Caenorhabditis elegans: one gene and its partner. Changing the gene in region 2 together with the main gene of any one other region gives a genetic interaction. Each region holds a gene or a part of one and is shown on either strand. Other genes may lie near its edges.

Region 1 (5,120 bases), on a different chromosome or scaffold from region 2:
TCAAAGAATATTGGAACTTCTTATAAACTGTACATTATTCTAAAAAACTAAACTATTTTAGTGATACACTGAAAACAAACAAAAAAAAAAAGATAATCAAAAAATAAAGGAGATGAGTGTAAGGAGATCATGTGGTGGTGCTCACTGATTCTCGTGAGCACTAATTGAATAATTTTGAAAAAGCGTGACTGACATTTTACAACTACATGTCCAAACTTGTGGGAATTGCAAACTAAAAGAACACTTGAACGTTTGAACATTTAAGATTGAGAAAAAGTGTTACAATAATGAGTCAAAAACGGTTACTTGTTCTGGATTGTTCAAGGCAATTTGAATAATCTTCACGTTTACTCACCCGTAATGCTGCAAGCATTTTGTCGAATGACATGAATTTCGAAAGTGCCGCCACATTTGCTTCGAGTGTCATTTTTTGATTTTTGTGTTCGGAATGAAGTATAGACGTCCGGAAGTATATAGTAGAATGGTATCATCAGCACTTCATTGTTGTTTTCGGAATAATTGAGAAAGTAGGTGTTGTGAGAGGCGTGGTCCCAAGTTTTTGCGGTAATATGGAACACACACACTTAAAAAAATCGGGGCCGAACGACGACACAACAGGCAGCAGTAGCAAAAACTTCAGTGCGTCCTGTGTATATGTACGGTGCGTGTGTTTCACCGTTTGACCTTGGAACGGCCCAAAAAGGAAGCGAATTTAATTGTAAGTAAGAAGTAAGTGTGAGCACTTATGCTTATCGCTTTATCAAAACACCGGCGCTGATTACCGTAGTTTGGCGTTCCGAACAGGTTGTGGATAGGTTGATTGTTTGAAGATGAAAATTGAGATATTGAAGATGACGATGATGACACTGGACTTTAAACTTTGATCGTTGTTGGCAAGAATACAGCTTCTTTGTTTCAGACCTAGTTGGTCCGAATAATTTCAACTAGAGCTCACTATGAGTTCATTTATTTCAGGTATCGTAAAAGCTGAACGACTTTTCCAGAATTTTTCCTTTCGAATTTTTCCAGTACAGGTTTCATTGAAAAAGCGTTTAGATGTAGAAGTAAAAGTCCACCATTATCTTGAGCGCATTTTGTATCTTCAACACATGAAATTTCTCTCATCATTTTCTCGAATGTTGAGAGCACATCACACTCAAGAACATCAGTTCTTCTTTCCTCTCCACTCACTTCTAAACAATTCCCCGTCAGCAAAATGGCGTGAGTTTAACGCTGCACAAAACATACGCCGAACTTCGAAAAAGAGATGAAGACTAATTGATGAGAAACAATCAATAAGAAGAAGGATCGGATCAGAATGGAACTTTTTGAACTTATAATAGAAGCTTATTACAAATTTCTAAAACTGAATTAAAGTTTGATAACTAAATGTCCTTTAGAGTGTTATTATATTCATTTGTTAACACCATGTTTTCTGAATACACACAAAAATATAGAGCATTAAATTCAATGAACTGAAAATATATGTAGCTCCAATAATTCAAATCCAATAAGATTCTTGATTGAAGAAAAGAAAATCGTTTAGCAATTTAAAGTTATAGAATACTACCGCCAACCACAAAAACAACAAAAAGTTTCATCTTGGTGCAATGGTTGAGTCAAGTCATAATAATCTAACCTGATTGAAAAAACATAATAACAAACTAACGTCGTCATCGCTGTTTGGAGGTGTCAAGCAGTTATTCTTGCTGTGTATCCGCCTGTGGCGCTGAAATAAAAAAAATTATTTAAATATTATTTATGATATTTTTAATTACACTTGCTGGGCTTGACGATTTATCATCGTCGTCAATCTTTTCAACATCAATTACACTTGCTGAACCCGGAGTTTTTGACGTTTGAATAGGAGTTTCGTAAGAAACAGCAGAAAAGTAATATGGAGTTGGATAGAATGGAAGTTTGTGGAAATTGTGGAAAGAGTTACTATACATGGCACTGTGAGAGTATAGATGGCGATTGTATGTGTTGTTGCAATGATCTGTTTTGCCTACTTCATCTCGGCGCCCCGTTAAGATAGCCGTCGATTTCGGCGCTGGGAGGGTCGAACAGTTTTCAACTCCCCCAAATTGCACTTTTGATGTAGAAATTCAGAGAGAATAAATGTTGCTGCTAACAAGTGGTGGGAGGGTACGGTTACACAAAAGATAGAAAACGCACGAAAAGAGATGATAAGAATATGACTCCTTTTTGTTCTCAGAAAATATTGGCCACTCTAACGCTTATCGCTACAAATCGAACATTTAGACACAGACCGCCGAAGATGACATGTCAACGTTCTAAAATCAGTGCTGTTCTTTGAGAAAGAAGCAGACATATTTATGTGTTACTTATAACAGTTAAACGTTTAAGCTCTACGAATACTTTAGAAAGTAAGATTTTATTTCCGACACATTTTTGAGTGGAAAAGGGGAAATAGCTGCAGAGAGGACATTGTTTCATAATGCCGATTGTACCAGAATGGTCGAATTTTTCAGTTTTCAAACCAAATATGAAATTGAGAACATTTTGAAAATTGTTCTACCATGATATGCCGTTACTACATATTTTGTGTTTTTTTACTGACACCAGTAGATAGGCTTGAAGTGGCTTTGTAAGTTAAGACTAAATAAAATTGATGAGTATCAACTCTAAGAAAATTTCAATACCATTTGTTCGAAACTTCTACAAAATAACTGAGGTTTAAACATAAATGTTAACACATTCTTGTGAAAATGATGCAATATATTTTGCAAAAAAGGTCATTTCTACAAGACTATTCTGCATCTATTCCCACAAGCTTTTATTGATACTTTGGTCTTCTGTTTAGCTGATGAGAAAAAAATTATAAATACGGTTTCAACTTTAAGTTTGTTATAAATAACTTGTAAATATCCAATTTGTTCACCTTTTTGCCGATTTATACTAATTTTCACATTTTTGATTGCTTTACACAGTTTGTACTGGCTCTTCTCGGTATACAATTTTTTAAAGCCGTGAGATTTTAGAAATCACTTACCCTGCGGGTTACTCGTTTCCTTCTCACGACGGGCTCCTCTACCTTATCTGGGTTTTCATTTGTTTCGATTTCCATTGACTGTTCCGCAATGACTCCTCCATTTGTGCCCATTTAATTGGCGCCCGTTGCGCCGAAATGTGCGCTGAAAAATTTTCATTATGTTTTTGTAAAGCAAGTAAAGCAAGATTTTGAGCAACATGGAATAGCAAGGAATAAGTTTCCAAAGTACACACTGGTGATCAACAGCCACAAAAGAAAAGATCGGAAGAGACACAAGAACGGGGACGGGAGGTCGTTATTTGTGAATACTTTGTCATTTTTCTGCTGTGATTTTTTTTTTTGCGTGGAACAGTCGAAAAAAAAAAATTTTGCTACTGCTAATTTTAAACATATCTACTGATTGCGAGCAAAGTTTTGTAAAATTGAAACATCTCGATTAGGCAAAACAGATCTCGTCAAAACTTTCTCTATAAAATAAGTTTTTCTTTTTGATTAGATATTATATACAGTTATAACTTGTAACGAAAAATTGGGAAAAAAATGTTTTTTGATGAATGAAGCTCGGTAAAGTTATCTACATCGAAAGTTGTTCTTGACGACCAGCAAAAAAAAAACAAACAAACCAGATAACTGGGTTAACTGGTGCGTGGATATCTACAATTTAAACTGAAATAAAAGTACATTTTCATTATCATGTTTTCATCCGCTTGGTTGATGAGTAGAACTAAGATTTAGTCTCAAGTAGACTCTGCTGTTCATACTATTTCTGCCTTTTTGCTGGCACGCATAAATTGATAAATTATGTATTTATCTCTAAAAATTTAATTGAAAATCTGTCACTTCTGATTATAGTGTGTTTGTTTCATCAAATCCTAATGCTTAGCACCAAAAATCTGATTCGTTTCATTTTGACGTGAAAAATTGCTAAATTGGAAAGATGAGAAGCTGGAGAGGAAGGCATTTGAAATTTGGATTTGAGATGGCATATGGGGAGGGAAAAAGCGGAACAATTGTAAAAAATGTCGTGGTCTCATTCACTCAACACATGAAACTGCACCTACTGAGAAGAATATGCATTTCTGGTGAAATATTGAAATAAAACAGCACGGAACGAACAAAAAAAGGTTTTAGAGAATGTAAGAAATTGAAAAATAAGTTGTGGTGCACTCAATTCTGAGTCAAAAACAAAAAGATTGAGTTAATTTTCAGATAGAAATTTGATATTCGGCCAAGAAAATTGATGAAATTAAAATAAAATCGAGTTGCGGCATTTGAAGAACTTTCAATGTTTTCAAAATGTATTTTGATGCAGAATAATGTTGCAAAATGGAACAATCACGAAAGTGAAATAAAAAATCTAAAAATTTATCTCAAAAGTATTAAAAAAGTTTTAAAAAATATTTTTGACTAACTTAGGGAAAAAAATTAATTATTTTTGAATAAGTTTAATACAAAATGTAAAATTAAACTTAATAAAAATTACATCTCCTATTCAACTGATTAATGGAAAAAGGAAAGTACTGAAATACTAAATAAAATTAAATTGAAAAAACCATTTTTAGAAAATGTTTTCATTTTGAATCCAACTTTAAAAAAATATCAGTTACATTTAAGATCACTTATCAGACAAATAAAATTATTTTCAAAAAAAATAATTTGAGGAACCAAAAAATGAAATACGATTAGCAATGTGCCTAAAGGTCATTTCAGATAAAACTAGACGCAACATCCAGGGAAAAAAAGAAAAAGCAAAATCCAAGAGGCGCCGGGCAAAGAGGGACCGCGGATGCCCACGCAAGAAAATGAGACGCAGAAATGGTGGAAAAAATGTGGGAAGGCGAAACGAGCATTAGGGTGGGTATGTTGCAAGAAAAAATTTTTAAAATACGCAATAGGGTGCACTTTAGAAAGAGTAATGGTCATTAATAGTTCAAACAAAACAAAACATTGAAAATAAAGAGGATAATTAATTAAAATAAGTTCTAAACGGGCAATAAAAACCAAAGGATCAGACTGTCGCGGATAGGGAAACTAAGTAAAAAAGATAGGAAGAGTGAGAGAAACGAAACGAAAAACGAGAACCACTGCACTGCGAACATTTATT
Region 2 (3,973 bases):
ATAGGCTCGCACTCTCATTCCGCACATTTTATCTCGTTGAATTCAATTCAATTAGGTCACTTGCTCTAGTTTGCTCTTTCAATCTCTACTCTTTTAACCCGGGTGCTATGATACTTTAAATCAAACTTCCATCACCTTCCATATAGATTAACTCTTCAGATTCCACACTAACATCCTTAAAAATTACAAAAATATTTAAATGCTCCAGAATGACATCCTGGACAATTTTTGAATATTTCATCCTCAGCGTCTGCCATCTCCGCTTAAATAGGAAAAGGCTCACACAATTTGCAAATATATATTTATAAAGGCTCGGTTTATTTGAGATGGCACATTTTTCATTAAGTATTCGTACCAACGGGCACAATTGTGCCCGATTTGTGTCTAGAAAAACTAGGAAAATCGTGGGAAAATGACAGTTTGTTTGCCAGAAAACTCTTCAGTCTTCTATATAATCGTAGTTGTGGTAGTTCCAAAACTTGTGTTTTCATATATTTTAACTCGTATTTTAACTGCTGCAAGATTTCTAAATTAAATTATATTAAACCGAGAAATTTCGAAGCTCAGAAACTATGATTACTTGAGGCAGATATGTCTCAATTGTTCCAATGTTTTTAACTAGACTCAGGCCAACACAAAGACCAAGTGCAACATATCAAAATTACACATTTGATGTCCAATGCACATGTTTCAAATTTGCTCAGAAACCCTTCACCTTCATCTCCTGCTCCACCACCCACCTCTCTTGTGTCGGCTCTCTCCTATGCTATTATATGTATGTGCTCTGAATCCCTTGCAGAATTCATGTAATACTATGTTTTCCCGTTTCGTCTACTTGCTTCCCTTTTCTTTCGGTGTTGATTTACCTAATTAAATGAGAACCTACGTGCATTTCCTGCTCCGACTCAGAGAGAGAGAGAAATTATTCAATATAGCAATGTAGCAGAGATTTTTATTCTATTTTCAGTTGTTTTCAAGTATTTCCAGCTATCAATCATCACTTTTCTGAAGCAGGTGAATACTGAAAAACAATCCATTCTGCAATCTCGTTATACCTTTTTTGATTCGAACAGCTCCTTCACTCGTGATATTATGAGGACGCAGAAACATGATACGCTCCGCCCCCAAACCATGGGTCTCGTTAGGTATTTGACGGAAAAACCTTCAATCGAAACGTTTTAATAGTGTTTTTCGTTTTTTTATTATGTTGTTTTTAAAGATTTTGATGCTGAAATTCTGACATGAATTTTTAGTCAAATGAAACAACATTAATTTCTTAAACAAGAAATCTTTAAAATCAACTTAAAACATAACAAAAATTTTTTAATATGAAACTAATTGAAAAACGTCTGAATTAATGAGTTCTGCCGCCAACTTCCTACCGAGACCCATGGCCCGGAGGCGGCGCGCTTTGCACTTCAATTTGAATAGGTATTTTTTCTGCGTCCCCATAATATACCCTAACCTCAATTCATATGGCTGCTTTTCTTGACCGGAAAATGACGTTTTCTGGTGAATGTGCTCATTTCCTTTTGCTACTTATTTTTCTACTATGAGATCATGATCATATTGCTTTCCCCGTTTCATATTTTCTATATTTATAACGTTTCGTAATTTATAATTTTCTATATTTCAGTGGAAAATATGGGGATAGGAGCAGATGAGAAGAAGCCGTTGCTAGTACAACTCGACGGGCAATATTATGACATTGCTGATTTTGCGCCTAAACATCCGGGAGGTGCCAAGGTAACTTTTTTTCAAGTTTTAGGATATTTTACTAATCTCAAACTTTTTATAGGTTCTGAATCGTTTGGCTGGAGAAGAAATTGGAGAATTTATCAGAGGAGAAAAAAGGATAATGGGTGTACGTCATGAGCACTCGGAAGCCGCTTATAATATGCTCGAGAGATATAATGTGAATGCAATTCAAAAAGTTCGTTCCTTCCATCAAATCTAATTATTAATATTTCTAAAATTCTAGGGTGATCCATTGATTGAGTCTAAATCCGGAATGCTTTTCAAAGTTGGATCTCTTGGCTCTGAATATTGGCATTGGATTCATCAACCATATGATGGAACTTTAAGGTATTGATGATCTCGACTTTTCAATGCAAATTTTCACTTTTTTTCAGACTTTTCGATTCGGATGTGTTGGAAAGCATGACAAGAACAGCTTGGTGGGTGGTCCCTGCTGTTTGGATGCCGATCGTCATTACTTTTTCTATCCTCTCAGTGCTCTCATTTTCAACATCCACCGATGTTTATAACTCGATTCTCCTGTGGTCTGCCTGGTTCGTCATTGGAGTTTTGACATGGACTCTCACTGAATACAGTCTTCATCGATGGGTTTTCCATTGGAAGCCGTCTCCAGATTCGCCGAATCAGATTCTTCTTCATTTCTTGGCTCATGGACTTCACCATAAAACACCGATGGACGGAGACCGCCTTGTGTTCCCTCCGGTTCCAGCTACTTTGATTGTTGGAATTTTCTATTTAATCTACTCCAATACCTTCCAATGGTCAGTATTAAACCTTTCCTGGTTCCCATATTCAGTTAATCGTTTTAGGCCAGTGTTTTGCGCGTTTGGCGCTGGAAAGTTATTTGGATATGTAACCTACGATATGGTACACTATTATTTACATCACGGAAGTCCTCGTCCACGCAGCAATTTACATTTTAGAAAAGTATATCATCATAATCACCACTTCAAAAACTTTGACGTCGGTAAGTTACATTTAACGGGATTTTGTTTAAAAATCAATTTTTAATTTGTTATTTTTAAGTCAAGAACATTAAAAACTGTTTTTTAATTGAGATTTTCTATAATCTGCAAATTGTCGTGAAATATAATGTTCTCTGACGGAAAATTACACAGATTTGCGATGGAGCGCGTTTGCACTTTCATTTTCGCAATCGAAATTTTTCTATCATTTTCCCTATTTCAGGCCTATTTTCATTTTTCAGGCTTCGGAATTTCGACTTCTCTTTGGGATTATGTTTTCCACACACTCGGAATGGGCCCATTATAATAATACATAGATGTTTTTTCGGAAAATTTGTTGTTTATTGAGTGAACTCTGCCTCACGTTTTTTATCTCTAAGTCTCTTGTCCCGATTCACTTTTCTCACGATCCACTATACCCGTTGTACATATATATTTATCGATTTACCTTTTCTTTTCTCGTACGCCAGATTAGTTCAACTTGTTTTCACATTTTATCTATATAGATCAGCTACTCAGCACGTGCCTATTATCCTCACTTCTTACCGGTTTCCATCAAACATTTTGTGATATTCCTTCTTGTTTTGTTTTCTTTCTGTTATGCGTGAAATTTGGAATAATTTTTAAAAATATCTAATGAAATCACCCCTTCATTCTTTCTCGCTAATTCTTTTTTTCGTTGCAATGCGCCGTATTTATTTCATATTTCTCTATAGTTTCAGAAGTTTTAGAAATCATTGATAGTTTCAGAACTCAGTCTACTTTCAACGGACAATGTTCTTGAGATACTTCTTGGACGAGAACCAACAAAGAGTGTACACTTTGAAGAGAACTGCTCCATCTGGAGAGCAAACTCTTACCGCTCATCCAGCTCGCTTTTCGCCGGAAGACAAGAACTCCAAATATCGCATCATCATCAAGAAGCGCTTCGGACTCTTGCCAACCCAGAAGGCAAAGACCGTTTGCTAAAATGCTGGTTTGGGAGTGGCGCCGCATGTTGCGGCAAAAAATCCGCTCTTTCACCCCCAATAAACCTATCAATTATCAACAGGTAATTTACAAATCTCGCATTTTTCCAAACGATATTTTATAATTTCAGGTGTCTCGTCGTCGTATCATCGTCTCTTTTGTTCTTTTCTTCGTTGGATGGAAAGCTTTTGGTTATACTCTCAACGATATGTTCCTTTGGACTGTCGATGAGCAAACTATGCAAGGTCGCTTTTTAACTCCACAAGAAGGCAAAGATCGAA

What was found.
Region 1: of fath-1 (region 2) and daf-12, changing one suppresses a phenotype caused by changing the other (phenotypic suppression), as found in Caenorhabditis elegans (one study listed by BioGRID).

Annotation. Positions count from the first base shown.
Region 1 is NC_003284.9:10,642,447-10,647,566, reverse strand, and holds the start of daf-12 (Nuclear hormone receptor family member daf-12), read right to left. Parts: upstream 3,128-5,120; coding exon 3,017-3,127; intron 1,730-3,016; coding exon 1,670-1,729; intron 1-1,669. UniProt on the Caenorhabditis elegans protein: Nuclear receptor which binds directly to response elements in target gene promoters. Activity is modulated by binding of steroid hormone ligands that include dafachronic acids.
Region 2 is NC_003279.8:10,175,545-10,179,517, forward strand, and holds fath-1 (Fatty acid 2-hydroxylase), read left to right. Parts: upstream 1-1,636; 5' UTR 1,637-1,644; coding exon 1,645-1,746; intron 1,747-1,798; coding exon 1,799-1,933; intron 1,934-1,981; coding exon 1,982-2,085; intron 2,086-2,132; coding exon 2,133-2,519; intron 2,520-2,567; coding exon 2,568-2,725; intron 2,726-2,965; coding exon 2,966-3,030; 3' UTR 3,031-3,371; downstream 3,372-3,973. Other genes in the region: nola-3 (Putative H/ACA ribonucleoprotein complex subunit 3), read left to right, coding at 3,498-3,692; C25A1.16 (uncharacterized protein), read left to right, coding at 3,694-3,774, 3,823-3,973.